6 linked regions of the Callithrix jacchus genome follow. The protein of the gene in region 6 purifies or fractionates together with the protein of the main gene of each other region. This does not show direct contact. Links are inferred from orthologs where the notes say so. Each region holds a gene or a part of one and is shown on either strand. Other genes may lie near its edges.

Evidence for each region.
Region 1: the proteins of PLRG1 (region 6) and PRPF19 purify together in Homo sapiens (affinity purification with mass spectrometry; 8 studies listed by BioGRID and IntAct, counting the BioPlex papers as one, with this or other methods). This does not show direct contact. The link is inferred for Callithrix jacchus from reciprocal best matches to the Homo sapiens genes PLRG1 and PRPF19.
Region 2: the proteins of PLRG1 (region 6) and SF3A2 purify together in Homo sapiens (affinity purification with mass spectrometry; 3 studies listed by BioGRID and IntAct, with this or other methods). This does not show direct contact. The link is inferred for Callithrix jacchus from reciprocal best matches to the Homo sapiens genes PLRG1 and SF3A2.
Region 3: the proteins of PLRG1 (region 6) and SF3A1 fractionate together in Homo sapiens (co-fractionation; 3 studies listed by BioGRID and IntAct, with this or other methods). This does not show direct contact. The link is inferred for Callithrix jacchus from reciprocal best matches to the Homo sapiens genes PLRG1 and SF3A1.
Region 4: the proteins of PLRG1 (region 6) and XAB2 purify together in Homo sapiens (affinity purification with mass spectrometry; 3 studies listed by BioGRID and IntAct, counting the BioPlex papers as one, with this or other methods). This does not show direct contact. The link is inferred for Callithrix jacchus from reciprocal best matches to the Homo sapiens genes PLRG1 and XAB2.
Region 5: the proteins of PLRG1 (region 6) and SF3B1 purify together in Homo sapiens (co-immunoprecipitation; 3 studies listed by BioGRID and IntAct, with this or other methods). This does not show direct contact. The link is inferred for Callithrix jacchus from reciprocal best matches to the Homo sapiens genes PLRG1 and SF3B1.

Annotation. Positions count from the first base shown.
Region 1 is NC_133511.1:117,927,757-117,931,762, reverse strand, and holds the start of PRPF19 (pre-mRNA-processing factor 19), read left to right. Parts: upstream 1-1,206; 5' UTR 1,207-1,430; coding exon 1,431-1,449; intron 1,450-2,351; exon of another isoform or gene 2,352-2,438; intron 2,439-3,873; coding exon 3,874-4,006. UniProt on the Homo sapiens protein: Ubiquitin-protein ligase which is a core component of several complexes mainly involved pre-mRNA splicing and DNA repair. Required for pre-mRNA splicing as component of the spliceosome.
Region 2 is NC_133523.1:2,116,813-2,120,777, forward strand, and holds the start of SF3A2 (splicing factor 3A subunit 2), read left to right. Parts: upstream 1-1,165; 5' UTR 1,166-1,228; intron 1,229-3,965. Other genes in the region: PLEKHJ1 (pleckstrin homology domain-containing family J member 1), read right to left, coding at 1-158, 253-320, 489-582. UniProt on the Homo sapiens protein: Component of the 17S U2 SnRNP complex of the spliceosome, a large ribonucleoprotein complex that removes introns from transcribed pre-mRNAs.
Region 3 is NC_133502.1:200,944,707-200,948,206, forward strand, and holds part of SF3A1 (splicing factor 3A subunit 1), read right to left. Parts: intron 3,043-3,500; coding exon 2,835-3,042; intron 1,399-2,834; coding exon 1,141-1,398; intron 1-1,140. UniProt on the Homo sapiens protein: Component of the 17S U2 SnRNP complex of the spliceosome, a large ribonucleoprotein complex that removes introns from transcribed pre-mRNAs.
Region 4 is NC_133523.1:7,204,675-7,208,174, forward strand, and holds part of XAB2 (pre-mRNA-splicing factor SYF1), read right to left. Parts: intron 2,363-3,500; coding exon 2,228-2,362; intron 2,141-2,227; coding exon 1,976-2,140; intron 1-1,975. UniProt on the Homo sapiens protein: Involved in pre-mRNA splicing as component of the spliceosome. Involved in transcription-coupled repair (TCR), transcription and pre-mRNA splicing.
Region 5 is NC_133507.1:118,366,983-118,370,482, reverse strand, and holds part of SF3B1 (splicing factor 3B subunit 1), read left to right. Parts: intron 1-187; exon of another isoform or gene 188-324; intron 325-1,299; coding exon 1,300-1,479; intron 1,480-2,156; coding exon 2,157-2,243; intron 2,244-2,369; coding exon 2,370-2,640; intron 2,641-3,061; coding exon 3,062-3,207; intron 3,208-3,297; coding exon 3,298-3,444; intron 3,445-3,500. UniProt on the Homo sapiens protein: Component of the 17S U2 SnRNP complex of the spliceosome, a large ribonucleoprotein complex that removes introns from transcribed pre-mRNAs.
Region 6 is NC_133504.1:42,068,296-42,072,335, forward strand, and holds the start of PLRG1 (pleiotropic regulator 1), read left to right. Parts: upstream 1-1,240; 5' UTR 1,241-1,326; coding exon 1,327-1,335; intron 1,336-2,658; coding exon 2,659-2,765; intron 2,766-3,761; coding exon 3,762-3,904; intron 3,905-4,040. UniProt on the Homo sapiens protein: Involved in pre-mRNA splicing as component of the spliceosome. Component of the PRP19-CDC5L complex that forms an integral part of the spliceosome and is required for activating pre-mRNA splicing.

The sequences.
Region 1 (4,006 bases), on a different chromosome or scaffold from region 6:
AAGTTCATACAGCCAATCACCTGGGTGGTGCTAGCACACAGTCTGGCTTCAGAGTCCATGCCCTTGGCCCCTGTGCCATACTGCCTTTTGTAAGTGTAACTTTTATTTTTCTCTCCAAGCTTTTGCTTATGTTGTTTCTCCTTCTGGAACGTCTTTCGTTCTCCTGCTCTTCTATCTGAATACTGCCCATCTGTCAAAGTTCCTCTTGCTTACACATCCTGTTCGTCCCGCCCTTTTGTCTGGATACCTTTTAGTCCACACCACATGTCCTTTGCATGATTTCTGAGAGTATATTATCTTACAGATATCTGCAAAGAATCATACACTATCTGAGCTGGAAGAGAAATAGCAAATATAAAATAAATTTATAGGAGGCCATTGGTTTGGACTGAGATCTTGCACTAGGCCCAACATACCAAGCCAATAAGAGTTAGTCCTGCTGAAGTTCCATGCTAATGAGCTGAAACGGGGATCTTTATGATCTTCTGAGTAGGAGAGAGAAATTGAGGGAAAGAGGGAAAAAGGTGTGGGAGAGAGAGAAAATAGCCAAATTCCGAAACAGGCTAGTTTTAGATGGCATGATAAGGAAGTTCCCTCCACTTTAACCTTTACAGGAAAAGTAATTTTGACATGACCAAACGACCAATCTGCTTTTTTTGTCTCTGGTTCTGTTTTCCTCAGTCCTTTTCGGTCTATAAATACAAGCTTGCCTGTTCAGCTCATTGGACTAATCATTATATTTTATAGTGAGGAGCGCCGCCCAGTTCTACAGAATTGCACCTGTAATCCCAGCTACTCTGGAGGCTGAGCAGAAGGATCACTTGAACCCAGGAGTTCCAGGATGTAGTACGCTGTGATTGCACCTGTGAATAGCCACTGCGTTCCAGCCTGGGCAACATTGCCAGTCTCTTTAAAAAAAAAAATTAAACTAAACTTTAAATTTGTTGTGATTTTGTCTTTTGACAAAGATGAAAGGGCAGGGAAGTCAATGTGAATTGCCCCAAATCACACTTGTCAAAACAAGTGCTGTCCAACTGATTTGGTTTTAAATTCTCACTGCATCATGGGAAATGTAGTTTCGAGTCTCCTCTCTCCCGACGTCCCCGCCACTCTGCCGGCGCTTTACGGAACGAGCCGAGTCAATCCGGAAATAACCGAGTGTTCGCGGCTGGCCTTTTCCTGCCCGGCTGCATTCTGGGAAAGGGCAATTTCCGTTAGGTGCTGAAGGCTGTGGCGCGCGGCTGTTCCCATTCCCACGTGAAGCGCTACGCTAGCATCGCTCTGCGAGCGGCTCCCAGCTTGCCGCCGAGCAGTCCCGGCAGAAGCGGGGGACCGGAAGTGGCTCGCGGAGGCTCAGAAACTAGTGCCGGAGGCTCAGAAACTAGTCCCGGAGTCCGGCGTGTGGCGTCTCGGAGCGCGGCGAAGGCGCCATGTCCCTGATCTGCTCCAGTGAGTGTTTACTGCGACCGAGCGCGGGTCGCAGGAGGCCGGAGAGCGGCGCGGGACCGTGTGCGGGCCGCTGCGGCGCTCGGGCCGGGGTGGAGGCGGTTATGGGGCGCCCGGGAGGCATAGTGGAGGCCTGTCAACCTCGCAGCCCTCCCCTCGGAGCGGGATGCGTTTGCGCAGTGCTCCGCAGTTTACATAGTGCCTGAGGTTTATTGCCGCAGGCATTACTGAGGCCAATCGCCTTGTTCTACAGAGTGGAAACAGCCTGGACAGAGAGAACTGGTGCAGGGGAAACAGCCTTGATGTAGGAGTTTGGAAACTCCAGGGTCCGCCTCCCGTTGGCTTTGTGAATTGGCTTAAGGCTCTGGGCCCTGGTTTCCCCATCTGCAAAATTGAGGAGCATTGCACTGGTTGTTTTGCGAGGTCTCGCTCGGATGGTCGGAGCTTTTGCAATTTGCAAAGGTCACATGATGAGTTAGAGGCAGAGGCAAGGCTGGCAGCCAGGTTTCTGGCTCTCGGCCTTACACTGTATGACTGATAAAAACAGTCGCACATTTATAAAGCCCTTATTGGTTTACAACGCGCTTCCAAGTCTATGATCTCATTTTATCCTCACAAGAATTCCCTAAAGGAGAAATAAAGATCCTGGTTTTGCAGATGAGGATGCAAGGCTCAGGAAGAGCCGGGGCTTATCTAAGGATGCGTAGTCAGTCAGTGTCAGAGCTGGGTGACGTAGTTAGCTGACATGGAGCTTGGACCCTGAATCCATGCCTTTTCCATACCTTCCACTGCCTTTCCCTTTGATATTTTATCATGACGTTCAGACGTTTCCCTTTAACTTTTCGTTGTTTCATCAGATTACTCGTTTCCCTTCCCTTTTGCTATTCATTTCCTTCTCTTCTCAGAACCTGTACATTGATCCAAAGAGGGGGAAGAAGGAAGGGAAATGATGGAAAAGGATCCCTCACAGTGAAGAAATTACAGCTCGCAAAGTACTTTCACATTCATTGTTTCCTTCCAATCTTGGAGAAGCTTTCTTTTACGTTCCCCAGGACCGTCCTTCCTGGCATGGTTCACTCATTTGTTAGATGTTTACCGAGTGCCCATAGGGCATCTGCATTATATTGGAAGGGAGAGACCAGCTGTAATCCTTATCCTCAAGGGGTGCACAGACTACGCTGGCAAGCGTGTAAATGATACCTCTCTTGCGGGTTGTTGTGAGGACGAATTCCTGTACGGTATGCTTAGAATTGTGCTTGGCAGTGTAATGTGCCATGTAAATATTTTTATTCTAGTGATTGCCACTTTGCTCCTTGGAATATTCCAGGTGATAAATGTCTGTCTGTATGCTCATCAGTTGACTAGTAGCTGGCAGACCCTCAGTAGCTTCAGGATGAGGACTAGTCACCAAGAAAGACCAAGGAGGTATTAGAAGGTTGGGATTTTCAGTCCTACCCCTCACTTAACCTGGGTAAGGAGAGGAGCTGGAGGTTAAGTTGGTCAGCAGTGACCAATGATTTAATGAATCATGCCTTTGTAATGAAGCTTTCATGAAAATCCAAAAGGACAGGATTCAAAGAGCTTCTGTATAGCAGAACATATGGAGGTCCCTGTAGGGTGGGGCGCCCAGGGAGGGCGTTGGAAGCTCTGTACCCTTCTCCCATACCTCCTCCTATGCACCTCTTCGTCCGTATCCTTTGTAATATCCTTTATAATAAACTGGTAAATGGAAGTGTTTTCCACAATGCCATGAGTCACTGTTGCAAATTAATTGAACCCAAAAAGGGGGTCATGGGACCCTGATTTACTGCCGGTTGATCAGACGAACAGGTCAAACAACATGGGAATCACAGTTGGCGTCTGAAGGGGCAGGGGAGTCTCGTGGGACTAAGTCCTCAACCCGTGTGATCTGACGCTGTCTCCAGGTACCTGGTGTCAGAATTGAATTGGAGGACACCCAGACGGTCACATCCGAGGTCACAGAAATATTTTGTTTTGTGACAGAATAGGAGAGACTGAGTTTGTTATTCCTATGTTCTCAGACTTCATAATTTCTTTGATAATCCCTCTGGAGCTATAGACTAAGATGGATGGCAGGCATTAGAATAGCTTCATGTGTATCTCCAGGTCATGGAGTAAACTGTATTCATAGATCATTGTTCAAAAATGAGAGGGGCGGGGATATTGAGTGCTGTTCTCTAGGTGCTTGGCACATAGTAGTTGTTAATGATTATTTGTTGACTGATTGTCAGGAGACTAATGGAGAAGCTAGTTCCATAGCTGGAAAGCATTCTGGGGCCAGTACAGAACTGGCTTAGGGTCAGATGTCTTGCTTCCTGCTAGTTGATTGTGAGGATGCTTAGTCTTGTTGGGCGTAACAGCAAGATTGCCTTCACTCCAAGCTCACTGCCGGCCTTTTCTCTACAGTCTCTAATGAAGTGCCGGAGCACCCATGTGTGTCCCCTGTCTCTAATCATGTTTATGAGCGGCGGCTCATTGAGAAGTACATTGCAGAGAATGGCACTGACCCCATCAACAACCAGCCTCTCTCCGAGGAGCA
Region 2 (3,965 bases), on a different chromosome or scaffold from region 6:
GGAGGCCTTGGGCGCCTGGGGAGGGGACAGTGCGGCGCCGCGGGTGCCCCGGGCTGCTGGAGGCGCCCCTGGCCTCCCCAGCCGCACTCACTGATGGAGAAGGTGCCGGGCTCCTCCCGGGTGACTCTGCAGCGCTCCAGCAGCAGGGCTCCGACGGGCTGCAGGAGACACGGGCGCCGGGACGCGGCGGTGAGCGCCCAGCCTCCCCGGGGCGCAGCCTGGCACCCACCCGCGCGCCCGGGGCGCCCCTACCTCGGCCTCGTCTGTCCGGAAGTAGAAGAGGAAATTCACCACGAGCTTCACCAGCCGCCGCTTCAGCACTGCGAGCACAGCGCACGCTCAGGGGCGCAGGCGGTCCCCGCCCGGATCCCCACCCTCCACCCCCAGCGCCCTCACCCGAACCCCGGACCCGGTCTCCCGCCCAGGCCCGGACCTCGGTCCCCGCCTCCAGTCCCTAGCACTGTCCCGGTCTCCCGGGTCCCGCTCACCGCTGCCCTTCTTGGGGCCCCTCATGCCCAGCTCGGCCGCCATCTCGGCCGGCTGCCGGGACAGCGCCTGCAGCTCCTTCTCGTTGTACCGCATTGTTCCGCGGGGAACGGGAACCCGTGCCACGCCTTCCCGGCCGCCGTCCCCGCTCGCGCCGGGGCCGGCGCCAAAAAGGTCCCAGGGCGCACACACGGAAGCACCGCTGGGGCTAGTGCGCCTGCGCGCCTTGGGCCGGCCATGCCACCCACCCCCGCAGGGTGGCGCTGGCGTCCCGGGGGGGGGGGCGTGCAAGGGTTGGCTGGGGAGACGGACCGTCGTTACTAAGTTAACTGAAATACACCGGACCAAGGTGGAACAAAATCAAAACAGCCCCGCGAGGGCTGGCGCCCCTTCTTAGAACGGCCAGGCGCAGGCGGAGGGAGCGATAACATCTCCCGAGTATCAGCCGCCCTCTCGCGAAAGTCGGCCCCGCGCGGCCGCAGCGGACCCAGGGGTCGTTGAAAGCGTTGTGCGCACGCGCGCTTTGTTTTCCAGGCCGCACTTTCAGACCCGCCACCTCCAGCCCTTTCCCTCGCGCCTCCGAACCTCCCGACGCGCGCCGCGGGGCGGGCCGGGCATGCGCACACGGGAGTTCCCGCCCCATCTGCCCCGGAAGTGCTTTCTTTTGCCCGCGACGCGCGTGCGCCGAACGAAATCGTGGCGGTGGCGGATCAAGGTGGCGATAGCGCGGCCTTGGGCTCTGGTGAGGGCGTCGGTCGACGGGGACTGGGGGTTCCCTGGAGGGGAGCGGACGTGGGAGAGAAGCGCTTGCTACGGGCCGCGGGCTGAGGGGCGGGCAGCGGGGTCGCGTCCCTTCCTCCTCCCTTGAGCGTCCGGCCTCGTGCATCTAGAGGCCCCGCGCTGGGCGGGCTGGCTCGAAACTCTTATTTCCAAACACCTGTTGGGGGGTCCGTACTCCGGACCTCACGCCTCTAATCCCAGCGCTCAGGGAGGCCTCGGCCGGAGGATCGGTGGAGGCCAGGAGTTCGAGACCAGCCTGTACAACATGGAGACCTCATTTCTACAAAAAAATTTTTAAAAACTAGCCAGGAGTGGTGGTGGCGCTTGTAGTCCCAGCCACTCGAGAGGATCGCTTGAGCCCAGGATGTCGAGACTGCAGTGAGCCATGATCTCACCACTGCACTTCAGCCTGGGCAACATAGCGAGACCCCCATCCCTGCAAATATTGTTTAAAAAATTAGCCGGGCGTGGCGGCGGGCGCCTGTAGTCCCAGCCACTCTGGAGGCTGAAGCGGGAAGATCGCTTGAGCCCAGGAGCTCGAGGCTGCAGTGAGCTGTGCTTGCGCCACTGCACTCCAGCCTGGGCAACAGAGCAAGATCCTGGTTCGTAAGATAAGAAATAGACAACCGAGACTCAGGGGTCGGATCAGGATCGCGGCCGAAACGGTCTGGGTCCGCTTTGTTGTAGCCCAGAGCGCTCCTGCATCCTAACCTATACCTGTTAGTTGACTGGGGCTCTGTGATGTAACTCCTCTCAGCTTCCGTTCCTTTAAAACGGGAGTGACAGCTTCACCAGGCCCAAGGCGAACGGAAAACCTTAGCTGGCCCCATTTTGCAGGTCACCCCAGGCAGCTGGATGCCTGCGACCGTTACTCCTGTGTGTCCTTGGGCAGCACCAAACAGCCACGGGAGCTCTGGAAAATAGGTTGTTTGCTAGGTTTAAGGAGAGAATGGAGTTGCCACCAAAAACTCCCATCCGCTCAGTGTTCCAGTCCCAGGCCCCAGGACTTTCCCCAGTTCCTTTTTTTTGGGGGGGGACGGAGTTTCGCTCTTGTTACCCAGGCTGGAGTGCAATGGCGCGATCTTGCCTCACTGCAACCTCCGCCTCCTGGGTTCAGGCAATTCTCCTGCCTCAGCCTCCCGAGTAGCTGGGATTACAGGCACGCGCCACCGTGCCCAGCTAATTTTTGTATTTTTAGTAGAGACGGGGTTTCACCATGTTGACCGGGATGGTCTCGATCTCTTGACCTCGTGATCCACCTGCCTTGGTCTCCCGGAGTGCTGGGATTATAGGTGTGAGCCACCGCCCCTGGCCTTCCTCAATTCTTAAGTGGGTTTCCCTGGTCTTTTTTGAGACAGGGTCTTGCTCTGTCACCCAGGCTGGAGTGCAGTGGTGCAGTCACAGCTCACTGAAGCCTCAGGCCATGCTCCTGCCTCAGCCTCCTGAGTAGCTGGGACTACAGACACTCACCACCATGCCCGCCTAGTTTTTGTATATTTTGTAGAGACGGGGTTTTGTGTTGTTGCCCAGGCTGGTGTGGTGCTCCTGACCTCAGGTAATCCGGCTGCCTCGGCCTCCTAAAGTGCTGAGATTACAGGCGTGAGCCACCACGCCGGGCTCGGCTAACTTTTGTATTTTTTTTTTAGAGGTGGGGTTTTGCCATGTTGGTCAGGCTGTGCCCTGGTCTTCCTGGACTGATCTGCTGATTTCACGTCAGGGTGGTTGACACTACCTCCCTCCCATCCACCCCCTGCACCTTCACCTTCCACCTCCTGGATGGGCGTCTGTCCTGAGCGGGAGTAGGTCCTTGGCTACGTTTTCTAAATAAGATGGAAAACGTTGTTGGTTGCTGAGAGAAGTAACATGTTCAGCTGGGCTTTTGTTTTGCACTCTTTCTTCCCCTAAAGCTGAGCAAGTTGCTTTTTACCATTAGCCTGCTTTGCTTTTTTTTTGGAGACAGTCTTGCTCCGTTGCCAGGCTGGAGTGCAGTGGCGCCATCTCGGCTCTGTGCAGCCCCTGCCTCCCGGGTTCAGGCGCTTCTCCTGCCCCCGCCTCCCCCCGTAGCCTGGTTTTCTTCTGCCTGTTTGTTTAGCTCCTCACAGAGCTCCAGCATCTCACACACCTATCAGTTGTATTTCACACAGGTTTAAATAAATCCGTCTCTCCTCACCACTTCCCTCCAAGACTCACGTGTCCCCTCCTCCAGGTGGGACTGGTTCTGCTCTGCCCTGGACGTGGGGCTGTTGCCCCAGAGCTTCCGGTCCTTGCTGCCCGGGGCCTGCCTCTGTTTCCAGCGTGGCCACCCTGTCCTCTCCATGAGTCAGAGCAGAACTTCTGGTGGCTTTTGAAGAAATAGATGATTGTTTTGTTGGTGGGGGGGGTGGCCCTTGATTGTCTGAAAATGAGTTTATTTACCCTCATAGTTAGGAATTTGGTGGGGTATAAAAATCTAGATTGAAAATCTGTATTCGTAGGCTGGGCACAGTGGCTCACGCCTGTAACCCCAGCACTTTAGGAGGCTGAGGTGGGTGGATCACCTGACTTCGGAGTTCAAGACCAGGCTGGCCAACTTCACGAAACCCCATCGCTCTAATAATGCAAGCATTAGCCAGCTGTGGTGGCGGGCGCCTGTAGTCCCAGCTACTCCCAGCTACTTGGGAGGGTGAGGCAGGAGAGTCACTTGAACCCTGGAGGCGGAG
Region 3 (3,500 bases), on a different chromosome or scaffold from region 6:
TATTTTATTTTTTTGAGATGGAGTTTTGCTCTTGTTGCCCAGGCTGGAGTGCAATGGTGCGATCTCAGCTCACTGCAACCTCTGCCTCCTGGGTTCAAGAGATTCTCCAGCCTCAACCTCCTGAGTAGCTGGGATTACAGACATGCGCCACCATGCCCAGCTAATTTTGTATTTTTAGTAGAGACAGTATTTCACCATGTTGGCCAGTCTAGTCTCGAATTCCCAACCTCAGGCGATCTGCCTGCCTCAGCTTCCCAAAGTGCTGGGATTACAGGCATGAGCCACTGCGCCCAGCCTTGTCCAGAGTCCTGATTGCAGCTCTGTCACATGGTAATTGAGCTTTTAGAGTCCAGAGTAAAAATGCCAGAGCTCAAACCCCAAGCTTGTCACCTCCTAGCTATGTGACCCTGGCCATGTTAACTTCTCTGAGCCTGAGTTTTCTCTTCTATAAAGTGAACATAACAATAGTGACTACGTTATAAGCTACTGGAGATTAAATGAGAAGATGCTGCATATATAATTTCTTAGTGACATTAGGTATACTGACTTATATCACATCAAAGTGTCTCTCAATGCCTATTTAAATGCTATTCCAATTTAAGGTACTTTATAATCTGAAGAACCAAAGTTTTAGGGTCAAATGTGGTTTAAATCTCAGCATAGCTATTTACTAGCTGACAGACCTAGAGTATGTGATTTCATCTTTCTGAGCCTGTTTCTGCTTCTGAAAGATGGGGAAAAAAAACATTTACCTATGGCTTCTTGTGAGGACTAAATTAGGTAAAATGAGGCAACTGTTAAAGGCTTGCTTCTTCTTAGGGCCTTATTAGGCAACCGAAAATGGAAATGTACTTAGAAGCAGCAAGCACGACTGGGCCTTGTCACACAGCAGGCAATTGCCTAACGGTACTTAGCAACCACGTGTTTCCCTTCCCTTTGGAAACACGCAGTCTGTGTTGCACTTAAAGAAATAACTGAACAGAAATCAGGATTTTACATCAAACTGGGATTCATAATGTTTGCTCAGAGGCCCCATGGAGAAGCGATGTCCTTGTAGACAGTGAGTGGACACAGTGCTTCCAAGGGTAAGATGCCTTCCTTCCCTGGGCGCAGGACCCCAGCCCCACCCTGCCCAGGTACCTTGGTGTACTGCTCCACTAGCTTCGTGAAGTAGTTGAAGAGGCTGTGCTGTGGGCGGAGAAAGTCAAACTGGTAGTTGCGCTGCTCTTTCTGCATCAGCTGGGTCAGAAACTGGCGCCCGTTCCTAGCCACAAACTGAGCTGTCAGCTTCACCACATCCAGGTCGAAGGCTGAGATGGAGGGGGGATCAGCAATGAACTCAAACTCAGGAGGAGGCTCTTTGGGCACGATGGTCTCTTGGATTACCTGGGCTTGGACCTAAGATGCAAAGGGAGTATGAGGTGAGAGGCACAGAGGTGGACAGGCTCTAGAGGAGGGGAGGAGGCATGGGCACCCACCCCTCAGCAGGACGGCTATGAACCTCTAGACTTCTGTTGATTATGTATGCACCACTTGCACTTGGTGTGAGAGAATTCTAAATCAGTGCTCTAAGAGCACTGAGTTGCCAGTCAACTATGGCCTCAACTCCATGAATGGCTCCAGTGAGAACCATGCCCCTCTGTATCTCTGCTGCACCTCCCTTGAAATAGAGAGGTAAAACTGGATGACAGAAGATCCAACAAAAATATGGCTTATTAAATCCCATCCAAGGCTGGGCACGGTGGCTCATGCCTATAATCCTAGTACTTTGGGAGGCCGAGGCGAGCAAATCACTTGAGGTCAGGAGTTCGAGACCAGCCTGGCCAACAAAGTGAAACCCCGTCTCTACTAAATATACAAAAATTAGCTGGGTGTGGTAGCAGGCACCTATAATCCCTGCTACTCAGGAGGCTGAGGCAGTTGAATTGCTTGAACCTGGAGGAGGAGGTTGCAGTGAGCCAAGATCATGCCATTGCACTCCAGCCTGGGGTACAAAAGCAAGACTTTGTCTCAAAAAAAAAAACCCATCCAAGAGGGATAGAAGTGCAGTAAGGCCTGTATGTGTGCAGAGAACCCCACTGTACAAAATGTTTCCATGACCTCCGCATGAAGCATGATACAGAACAGGTACTGTGAATCCTCTTTATGGATGAGGAAACCGAGGTAGCCTGAGGCCCTAGGAGTAGTATATTGCAATGCAAGGTCTTAGAACCTGACTTCAGCCTCTTTATCCCACTGCAAAAGGAGGGGCTGTCTTTTCCACCACGGTTCAGGAGTGCAGAAAAGCGAAGGGAACAGCCCAGGTCTGGACAGGAGGAACAACACGCCAGCCTCTCTCTTCATTCATAACCCTAACAGTCCCTAGTGCTGGGCCTCAGCACAGGGAGGGTGGTATTAGGGGAGGGCAGATGGAGGGGTCCTGGGAAGAAGACAGAAGGGAAGGGATCACACAGGCCACATTGCCCTTCAGCACAACCAAGTAGGAAGTCCTTCACACATCATGGCACTGCCCTCACACCCTGAGCAAGGCCTGGAACAAATCCCACTTCCCCCGACTCTCAGATTCCTTTTACAGCCTCTGTGAAGAGTCAGTGAGACAAGACTCCTGAAGTAAAGCGCAGAGCTTGACAAGCAGTGCTCGGGCCACACCAACTATCATCAGTACTTTGCGGTCTGGGCCTCAGCCTGCCTCTGTGAGATGGGGATGATGACCTCACTTCTCTCCCTGGGTGGTTGTGAGGTTTGGATAGCAGAGTTAATTGTGTACCCCCTCCCTATCCCTGCTTCTCTCTCGGCCCTGCGTAAGTGAGGCGGGGTGGGGCTGGGCTCCAAACCTTCTGGGGCAGCTGCTGCTGGGTGGCCTGCTGCTGCTGCTGCATAACTTTTGGGATGGCAGCTGACGGCTCCTGAGCCTTGCCCTCCTTGAACTCGCTGACCTTGTGGCGGTAGTAGGCATGGTAAGGGTCATTGGGGTTCAGAAAGTTGAACTTGGGGTTGTTGATCTCGTTCTGTCGGATCCTAGCTTCAAATTCAGGACCGTTTCTGGAGGGAGGAAAAACAGGAAGATTTAACACCACACCCCTTGTGCCTGCTGAGATCCAGAACACTGCCCATTTGAACACTCTTCTTGCCACCACCCACTGCTCAAACCAGCCCAGCCCTCAGCAGAGCAGACATCCTCCTCCAGCCTCCTGGCATTGACAATCAGTGCCATCTGTCTCATTCAGCCTCAATTAGGCCATTTCTACCACAGGGTCTTCCTGAACTCAGTCATTCCTTAGCTCTTCTTCCAGTTCTGCCATTTCCAAAACCATTTAGGCTATTGCTCATTCCTTTTAATAAAGTTTATTTACTTAGAAAAATCTATTTAAAATGGAGGGTACATATTACCACTTAAATTTTTTTAAAAATCAGTATGCCTTTATCCACAAAAGGTAGTCAAAAGTGAATACAATGCAAATAAAGTAATATTGTCAAAGTTTAGCTCGAAGTTTGCTGAG
Region 4 (3,500 bases), on a different chromosome or scaffold from region 6:
CACAGGGGACAGGCAGCAGCACCCTCAGCAGCAGCCCCACTCTGCAACCCCTGAGGGCCTTCCAGGCCCCCCCGCAGCACCTCTGGGCAGTGATCCCAGCACAGAGCCTCGGAGTCAAGTCTTCTCACCCCCTACGCTGCTGGGGTGATCCTGGGACCTCCTCAGTAAACCGGGTGACTGCCCTCTGTGCAGTGACCTCAAGGCTTGACTGAGACATGTGTGTGAAGCACTCGGCACCCAACAGGTAGCCAAAACCCCCCAGCGCCTATGGGTCCACCCTGCAGGGACCCTCACCTCAGCTCATCCTCGGAGAGCTCAGACTTTGCTCCAAAGCGCCCCTCTCCCCTGCCTGACCCTCTTCCCTAGTTCACCCATCCCCCTGCTGCTCACCGACCCCAGCTCAGGCCCCCCCTCTTTACCCAGCCCTGACGGGTCTTACCCTGCTGCCTCTGACAGCCTTGGCATACACATGTCCCTGGAAGGAGCGCTGGGAAATGCATGCCTGCTCCCACTCCACTGGTGGACCCCAGTCAGCAGCATTGCCAGCCCCTCTTTGGCTCAAAAGGCTCCCAACCTATTGTCTCTCGGTTCCTGTGATTCCCTGCTCTTGGCTCCAGCCCCATTCTGCTCCCACTGCCCCAGAGCTTCCTGCTCCAATGCCTGACAAGAGCCATAGTCAGCTGACCCCTGAGGGACTGGCCCTCACATGAGGTACCTACTCAGTGCTCTGCCTACATCACCGTGCTGACTGGTGACAGGGAGGGACTGCCACCTTGATTTTACAAATGAGGACATCAGGCTGGGTGCAGTGGCTCATGCCTATAATGTCAGCACTTTGGGAGGCCGAGGCTGGTGGATCACGAGGTCAAGAGATCGAGACCATCCTGGTCAACAAGGTGAAACCCCGTCTCTACTAAAAATATAAAAATTAGCTGGGCATGGTGGTGCGCACCTGTAGTCCCAGCTACTCGGGAGGCTGAGGTAGGAGAATTGCTTGAACCCAGGAGACGGAGGTTGTAGTGAGCCGAGATGGTGCCATTGCACTCCAGTCTGGGTAACAACAGTGAAACTCCGTCTCAAAAAAAAAAAAAAAAAAAAATGAGGACCTCCATCCTTAGTAGGGGCAAAGCCACACAGCCAGAGGGGAAACTTTGAGCGCAAGTCTGGCTGACTCTAGGGTTGGTGTGCTTGCGGGAAGGAATCGCCCCCTCCACTCACTCGGATGGCAATTGTGTGCAGGGACATGCATGTCTGTCACAAATACTATGTTTTCTTTTCCTTTTTTTTTTTTTTTTTTGAGATGGAGTCTCCCTCTTGTTGCCCAGGCTGGAGTGCAGTGGCGCCATCTCAGCTCACTGCAACCTCTGCCTCCTGCCTGCCTCAGCCTCCCAAGTACCTGGGATTACAGGCGCCTGCCACGCCTGGCTAATTTTTGTAATTTTGGTAGAGACAGGGTTTCACTATCTTGGCCAGGCTGATCTTGAACTCCTGCCTCAGCCAGGCTGACCTTGTGGTCCACCCGCCTCAGCCTCCCTAAGTGCTGGGAATACTGGCATGAGCCACCACCCCTGGACTGTTTTCTTTCTTTCTTTTTGAGATAGTGTTTCACTCTGCTGCCTAGACTAGAGTGCAGTGCTGTGATCTCAGCTCACTGCAACCTCCACTTTCCAGGTTCAAGTGATTCTCCTGCCTCAGCCTCCTCAGTAGCTGTAATTACAGGTGCCCACCACCATGCCCAGCAAATTTTTGCATTTTTAGTAGAGACGGGGTTTCACCATGTTGGCCAGGCTGGTCTTGAACTGCTGACCTCAAGTGATCCGCCCCCGCTCGGCCTCCCAAAGTGCTGGGATTATAGGCGTGCACCACCACACCTGGCCACACATGGCACATTTTCTGCCTGTGCGTGTGTCAATGTATGCCCCCGAGTGTCAGGAGTCCCCGGCCTGAACCCAGAGCCCCACGCGCCGGTGTGCACCTTCTCAAAGTGGCCGCTGCGGATGTAGTAGTCGGCGAGTGAACACCAGAGTTTGCCCAGTTGGTCAGTGAAGCGGGTGAGGCCCCCACGGATGATGGCGTCCACGTTGAGGGACTGGACCTTGTCCGGGTTCTGGGAGATGAGGTCGCACAGCTCGTGCCACAGCTGCAGGGCATGGGGTGGAAGGAGTCTCGAGCTCAGTCACAGAGCAGGCAGCCCTCCCACCCAGCTCCCGGTTCCCGGGAGGCCCACCTGGTAGTTGGACTTGCCGGCCTTGGACACGAAACGCTCGTCGTTCACCACTGTGGCCAGGCGCTGTGCAGCTTCATCCAGCCGGTCACTTGACTTGAGGTACTCGATGTACTCCTCTGCGCTCTCAGGACTCAGCTGGGGACCGACCCACCTCTCTGGCAGTCAGTGAGGTGGCAGGGCCACACCCACATCCCAAAATTCAGTGGCTCTGGGGCGCCCCCCACCCATTTACCACTGTCTTGGACAAAAGCAAGCCCTGTCAAACCAGCCTCAGCCCCACTGGTCCAGCCCTGGTTCCTACTGGTCTAGCATCAGCCCCATTGGGTTAGGCGCTTAACCCCCTATGGGTCCAGCCTGACTAGACCATCTTTGGACTTTCTGGGTTAGCTTTGACCCACAAGAACACAGCCTTGACTACAGTGGTCTAGCCTCAGTCCCAATGGTCCAGTCCTGGTCCTTTTGGGTTCGACTTTACCTTCCACCCATAATGGGTCCAGCCTTGGCTCCAATGGTCGAGCCTCAGTCCTGACTGGCCTAGCCTTGGCCCCTTTGGGTTAGCCTTGATCCCATGGGTCCAGCCTTGACTACTACTACTACTAAGAGACCTTAGGAAACAGGAATTGCCCAGGTGCAAGTCTCAGTTTAAGAGAATACGTGGGGCTGATTACTTGCAGCAAAGAGAGGCGACCCATGGAAGACACCACATTGGCTCTCAAAGCTTTTTCAAAGCACATGAGGCCTAAAGTAAGTGGGAGAGGTCCCATCAAGGCTTGGAGAGGGAGTGAAAGTGTTGGGAGGTCCTCATTCTTGGGTAGATGAGTGGGAAGGACACGGGCAGCCTATCCAGGCCCAAATCAGGGCATGGCATCTATGGCCAGGTGGAGACAGCACTGTTCTGTGATGATAGCTTCTCCTGGAAAAGCTGAGCCCAGCACCAGTGTAGTCAAGCCCAGGTGTCCAGCCTGGGCCCCATCGGTCTAGCCTCAATCCTGACTGTTCCAGCTTAGACTCCAAGTGTCACAGAACAGATACTGTAAGTTTGAACAAACCATGCCACACTCTCCACCCTGCCTGCTGTACATCCCCACAGTTCTCTCCACCTACTATTCTTGGCCCTCATGGCTGTGGTTTTATTCTGGTTCATGCCATCAGCTCATATGCATCTGTCTTCCTAGTGAGACTAAAAGGTACGTGCAGACAGGAAGTGTCGTAGTCACATGGTCCTCAGCACCCATCTCTATGCCTAATGCGAAACTGGTATAAGCAAACTGTT
Region 5 (3,500 bases), on a different chromosome or scaffold from region 6:
TAATTAAAAACAAATTTTTGTAGTTTTTGTAGAGACAGGGTTTTGCCAAATTGCCCAGGCTGGTTTCAAGTGATCCTCCTGCCTCGGCCTACCTCCCAAAGTGCTGGGATTACAGGTGTAAGCCACTGAACCTGGCCATGTTTATATTTTTAAAAATGTTTTTAATTTTTAAATTTTTTCACCAGGAAATGTAGTCCACAAAATAGTAGTGAGCTATTGGTATAGCCCACTGTGGAGTATGGCCTTTCCTTACTCTCCCAAATAGCCCAAATTGGTAAAGGTTATTTAGGAAGCCTTGCCTGCAAAGAAATTAACTTTTGGTAGTGCTATATTTTTATGTTTAGGAATTTATAATTACTCTTGCTTCATCTTTATCAAGGACATAGTGTAAGGGAAAGAACTGTATGTAGTGTGAAGGATTTAACTTTTTTGCTTGTTGTTATTATATATATGTACTTTTGAGACAGGGTCTTGCTCTGTTGCCCAGGCTGGAGTGTAGTGTGCAATCTTGGCTCACTACAACCTCCACCTCTTGGGTTCAAGCAGTTCTCCTGCCTCAGCATCCCAAGTAGCTGGGACTACAGGTGTGCGCCACAACGCCCTGCCGACTTTTGTATTTTTAGTAGAGACAGGGTTTCACCATGTTAGCCAGGCTGGTCTTGAACTTCTGGCCTCAAGTGGTTCACCTGCCTTGGCCTCCCAAAGTGCTGGGATTACAGGTGTGAGACACTGTGCTTCGCCGTTTTTTATTATTTAAATAGAGATGGGGTCTCACTTTATTGCCCAGGCTGGTCTTACTCCTGGGCTCAAGCGATCCTCCTGCCTCTGTCTCCCAAAGTGCTAGATTACAGGCGTGAGCCACTATGCCCTGCTGGAGCTATCTTTTTTAATCAAAGAATTTTGTGCTAATAAAGATGCTGAAAAATGAGACTCTCTTTTTGCCCTCAAGGCCTTAAAATATGCTTAAAGCTTGAAGATAATTAAAATTATATAAGGAATTATTAATACTATATGTGCCTTGGAAATGGAAGATACTTTAGGGGAAATGAAAGCATTTAGTACATAGCTCTGTGGTCCTTTTGTTCTATTAAATTACCCTTATGAATTGACATAAAATTTCTATCACAGGAGTTCAAATTCCGGAGTAATTTGGAAGGAAATGAACTCATGCAGTCTATGTAAAATGTGTGTAAAAGTATACACTAAAATACTAAATTATAGAAAATCTTTGAGTAATTTGTGCATTCAAAATGCTTGATTATAAAGCATTCACACCTTTTATTCTGCTTTTTTTCCCAGGCTGCGTTGCGTCAGATTACTGATAAAGCTCGTGAATTTGGAGCTGGTCCTTTGTTTAATCAGATTCTTCCTCTACTGATGTCTCCTACACTTGAGGATCAAGAGCGTCATTTACTTGTGAAAGTTATTGACAGGATACTGTACAAACTTGATGACTTGGTTCGTCCATATGTGCATAAGGTTTGTTCTCCTTAATAGTGTTCCTGATGCTTTAATATTTTAACTTTTTCAGTTAATGTTAAATTTACATATCCTCCTAGACCTTTTTTTTTTTGCACAACTACACGTCATACATGTACAAATACAATTATATACAGAATAAATGTACATACAGATGTACACATGTAAGTTTTTGTTACCTTTGTCATAAGAGGTTCATACTGTTTTTTCATTTGCTTTTATTGAGATTAGGATAAGAATATGTGATTCTGTATTATGCCATTTAGTGTTAAGAACCAGTGTTTTTACTGATGGTAATTATGGTACAGTATGTTCATAGGGTGTATAAATTATTTTTTTGAGTCGAAGTTTTGCTGTGTCACCCAGGCTAGAGTGCAGTGGCGCAATCTTGGTTCACTGCAACCTCCACCTCCCAGGTTCAAGCGATTCTCCCTCCCAAGTAGCTGGGATTACAAGCGCCTGCCACCATGCCTGGATAATTTTTTTATTTTTAGTAGAGGTGGGGTTTCACCATGTTGGCCAGGCTGATCTTGAACTCCTGACCTCAGGCGATCCACCCACTCAAAGTGGTGGGATTACAGGTGTTAGCCACCGCACCTGGCCATAAGTTATTTTTTTAAAAACATCAGTAATTGATGTCAAAGTGTAGCTTCTTCTCTTTTTTTTTTCTTTTTCAGATCCTCGTGGTCATTGAACCGCTATTGATTGATGAAGATTACTATGCTAGAGTGGAAGGCCGAGAGATCATTTCTAATTTGGCAAAGGTATTTACATTAAATTTCTAGAGAAGAAAATTTTTATCTGTTTGTGGAATTATTTGATTATGGAAGGAAATGGTTGAACATTAATATTGGCAACTGATGACTGTTCCTTTTTTCTTTACTTTTTAGGCTGCTGGTCTGGCTACTATGATCTCTACCATGAGACCTGATATAGATAACATGGATGAGTATGTCCGTAACACAACAGCTCGAGCTTTTGCTGTTGTGGCCTCTGCCCTGGGCATTCCTTCTTTATTGCCCTTCTTAAAAGCTGTGTGCAAAAGCAAGAAGTCCTGGCAAGCAAGACACACTGGTATTAAGATTGTACAACAGATAGCTATTCTTATGGGCTGTGCCATCTTGCCGCATCTTAGAAGTTTAGTTGAAATCATTGAACATGGTAAGTTGCAATGTAACTTTGTCTTTTTTTTCTCTTTAAGAGGTAAGGTCTTTACTATGTTGCCCAGACTGGACTCAAACTTCTGGGCTCAAGTGATCCTCCTGCCTCAGCCTCCTGAGTAGCTGGGACTAGAGGTACACACAAAAGCCTGTCTACATTTAATAGGACAGCTGTCCTAAAATTTGGGCTACTGATTTGGGGAGATAAATGGAAGGGCGTAACTGTACAAACTATATATTTTATGGGTTTGTGATGTTATCTGCTAACAGGCTGTGGTTCATATTTGCTTTTACCTAATTTTGTCTAATGTGAGCACATTCTGCAGTTTAGCTAAATAGTTGATATAGTGCAAGAATCTGGATGATATTGTATAACTTAGGTAATGTTGGTGCATAGTTAAAACCTGTGTTTGGTTTTGTAGGTCTTGTGGATGAGCAGCAGAAGGTTCGGACCATCAGTGCTTTGGCCATTGCTGCCTTGGCTGAAGCAGCAACTCCTTATGGTATCGAATCTTTTGATTCTGTCTTAAAGCCTTTATGGAAGGGTATCCGCCAACACAGAGGAAAGGTAAATCCACCAATTACTTTTTGATTTCTCTTCATTAAGGTGACATAAATCTAAATTACTAAACTACATTTATTTTTTATTTAAAAACAGGGTTTAGCTGCTTTCTTAAAGGCTATTGGGTATCTTATTCCTCTCATGGATGCAGAATATGCCAACTACTATACTAGAGAAGTGATGTTAATCCTTATTCGAGAATTCCAATCTCCTGATGAGGAAATGAAGAAAATTGTGCTGAAGGTATTTATTCCAAATTTGTTAACGTAAACCGGGTTTGTTTAATGGTTCTTAGATAA
Region 6 (4,040 bases):
ATACAAAAATTAGCCAGGCGTGGTGGTGCATAGATGGAATCCCAGCTCTTCGGGAGGCTGAGGCAGGAGAATCCCTTGAACCTGCAAGGCAGAGGTTGCAATGAGTCAATATCGTGCCATTGCACTCCAGCCTGGGCGACAAGAGCGAAATTCTATCTCGAAAACAAAACAAAACAAAACAAAAATCCACCATGACCTTAATGTTTTAAATTTCCAAGTGAGGTCATCGATTTACATTGCTATTCTTTTGCTAGGTCTTTTTTTTTTTTTCCTTTCGAAGTGTATGTAGTATGCTCTGGGGACAGGATCAGTGAAACTGAAACAGGGCCAGTAAGGTGTTTGTCTATTTAAGCTTGCAAATGCCCAAGTCCATCAATTTTTCATTTTACATAGAAAAATAATTGGGTAGGATTGACCACAAACCGCAGATTTTACCAGGGTAGAAAGCAAAAATATCAATACTTGGCACAAGGATATGTAAAAATAAAAATGGCTAAAGTCTCCAATTGTGCCTTTCTTCAACCAGCTTTGAAACGCTGTATCCTGGCATTGTTGAAGCCCAATAATCAGCAGACAACTAGGAAATGGCCAAGAGCTACACAGTTTTGAGAAACTAAAAAAAAAAAACCAACCTATTAGCAGAAAATAAATGTGGGGTTTTACACTGTTAAAATTATTTTGTATATCTACATATGAAAAATCTCCAAATTAAAACAACTATTCCGCAACATTCACTCAACAAGTGTTTACTGGACTGTTTAAGCGAAATTGTTTTCAGGCGTTAAGCCTACAACAGTGTTCAAGTGCTTCTCGCCAGGACTGGAACCAGCAGACAAACCACGTCGGCGACCTCCAAAGAGATCAAGGCAGTGCAAGTGACTTAGAGCCCACGGGAGTTTGCTCTCCAGACGCTGAGGTTCCCTGAATAAAAAGCATTAAGCTACCGGGTAATACAGCACGAACAATCAGGACCCCAAGCAAAACAGCACGAACAACCAGGACCCCAATCAAAACATTTAAGGCTGAGGATAAGGAAGAAAACAAATTGTAAGATTTCCTCAGAGGTGCGAGTGAAACCCTCCGGTCAGGCGCTTCAAGGAGTCTCCGCTCCTCAGCTTCGAGACTCCGCCCTAGAGGCGGTCCCGAGGAGGAAGATCCGCCTCCCGATCCCAGATGGCCGGGGGAAACCAGCGCGCGTGCGCAGAGTTGCGTCACATCCGCCGCCTGGGTGCCCAATTCCGGAAGGTGCCGCACAGTTGTGGCGGCGGGTACTGCGTTAGTGATTAGGGTTTCGTCGCTGCCAGAGGTGGGATATACGGCAGCATCATGGTCGAGGTAAAGTGACACTGGTGCTCTCAAGAACCGTTTGCCTCTGGACTGTTTTTCTTTGGCAGTGGGCGTGGGGGATTGAGAGTGCTTGGAGTCCGGAGAGAAAAGAGGCTACGAGGGGAGCTATTTGGCCAAGGCCGGGTGGTCTCTTTTTCAGGTTTTCGGGGAAGGGGGAGAAACCGGATGAGAACCCGAGTCAGAAGTTCAATCCGGGCGCGAAGCCTGAGATAAATCGTTCAGTCCCCGTTTGACTCTTGGGGGCTGGACACTGTCCTTGGAGGCGGGGCCTCTGTTGGTGTTCGACCACTGGTACTCGCCGCCCTCGGGGCAGTGTCAGTGATTCTGTGCCCTAAAAGACTGGCGGCCTTCTTTATCTTGCGTTCAGGTTCTTCTCTTATTTCATCTCTACCCCCAGAAAATCTTGCCATTCTTTACATCTTTCCCTGCCTTGAACAGCCGCTCTGTTAGCTGGTCTTGTCCATCTTACCCCATATATTTATTGATTCCATCAACTCTTCTCTGTAACCACTGCAGTCCACCTTAATTCAGACCAACCGCATCCTTCACCTGGACTGGTTTCCTTGTTTCCATTTTGTTCTATAAGTTCTGTTTAAAACGTAAGTTGTTCATACCTTTCTTGCTTAAAACCCTTTACTGACCCTATGTTGCTGGAACACAAAATATTAGGTTGTTGTAATGGTCTAAAAGGCCTTACCTAATCTGGACCTTGTGTACCCTTGCAACCACAAAGCACCTTCTCACCCACCATATACAGCTGTACTGTGCTCCTTGTTTTATTTCAGTTAACTGAACACCTTTTTACATAATATTTCTGTCAGCCTGGTTCGTTTTAACTTCTGTTTGTGCAAAGCTAACTCCCTTTCTGCTTAAATATCATCTTAGTGAAATCTTTTACAATTATACTTAGTCCTTCGTACTCTGACTCAGCACCTTGCTTGTTGCCTTCATAGCACTTATCAAAATGTGGAATTATTTTACTTTTTACTGTTTCCTCCTGAGCACAGGGACCATGACCACCTTTTTATCATTTTGTTGTGAGATTCTAGCACAACACCTGCCAGAGCTCAATAAATATTTGTTAAATAAATGACTAAACTCAGGCATCACTCAGTTGCTATACCTGAGTTTCTAGCCAAAGAGGAGCTTCCTCTTTTCTGAACTTGACTCCTGTAGCTTGCAACTAGTAGCTATGATGAGTGTATAAAGCTTTTTACATTTTTAAACATGTAAAGTGTATAACCAATCTGACGTTATGTTATGATTTGTTTAATTTATAGGTAGGTGTGTAATTGCATTCTTTCTTTTTAGGAGGTACAGAAACATTCTGTACACACACTTGTGTTCAGGTCGTTGAAGAGGACCCATGACATGTTTGTAGCTGATAATGGAAAACCTGTGCCTTTAGATGAAGAGAGGTAGGTATAGATTTTGTTTTTGTTTTTTTTTTTTTTCCAGTTGCTGAAATATTTAACATTTTAATATTGGGCAAAGAGAACAGGGAGAGGGAGACCTTTAAAGATAAGTTAGTAATACTCATGGCCTAATTATTCAATAATGAGTGGTATTTTGGCATAATTTAAGCTGATTTAACTTTTTTTTTTGCCTTTTACAGTAAAAGTTCCATTAATTAATTGCATTTTATAAATGCCCAGTAATTAAGCGAGCCCCTTTTAGGTGTTTTATTTTATAATAAATCACTTTGTATGTGCTTTCAGCTTCCTGCTGCTCTCAGAGCCTTGCTGAGCTGAAATTGTACCTGGCCAGTACCTCTACTCCTATCTTTTCTCGTTAGTATGATAAAGATTTTTGAATGGTGGCACATTTTTGGTTCTACATATCCAGCTCTAGTCTGGGATTGCATTATGTGCAGTGTTCCTTCTTTGTTCTTTACCCTTTTAAAATCTACTGAATTCCTCAAACAAGCATTTATATTTAATTTATAAAGTAGACAATTTTAAAAAGTAATATAAGTGCCTTTCTTTCTAAAATACTGAACCAGTTAAGGATTTTGATTAGTTTTGACTAACCTGTTTAGAAACATAGAAAGGCTGCTATAAAGTTCTTACTATATTTATATATTGAAGGAAAGTATATTGATTTTGAGGTTTCTTAAAGGATATGTTAGTTTCTATATATCTTTCAATCAGACCCTTGATAATTTATCATAAAAGGTTTTGTATTTATTTGGTAACGAACTAAAATATTAGGTTTAATGAATGCTGTGTGGTGGAATGTGAGCAAAAGAAAACAGATAATGGTGGGAAAATGAACTTGGAAATTTTTTAATCTTTTAAATATGACTTAAAATCTTACTAGAAACTTTTTCTACATGATTTGGCAAACTTAAGCTATCCAAGTATTTGTTTTAAAGTATTTACGGATATGTTCTTATGTTTATAATTTCTAAATAGTCACAAACGAAAAATGGCAATCAAGCTTCGTAATGAGTATGGTCCTGTGTTGCATATGCCTACTTCAAAAGAAAACCTTAAAGAGAAGGGTCCTCAGAATGCAACAGATTCATATGGTCATAAACAGTACCCTGCCAATCAAGGTGAGTATGGTATTATCAGAAATGTCAGGACTTACATGTGAATTTTAAAAATAGAAAAATAAAATGGGTTATTTATGCCCCTCCTGGCAGAACTTATTGTGATCATACAGTATTTAATGGCTGTATTGGTATTATA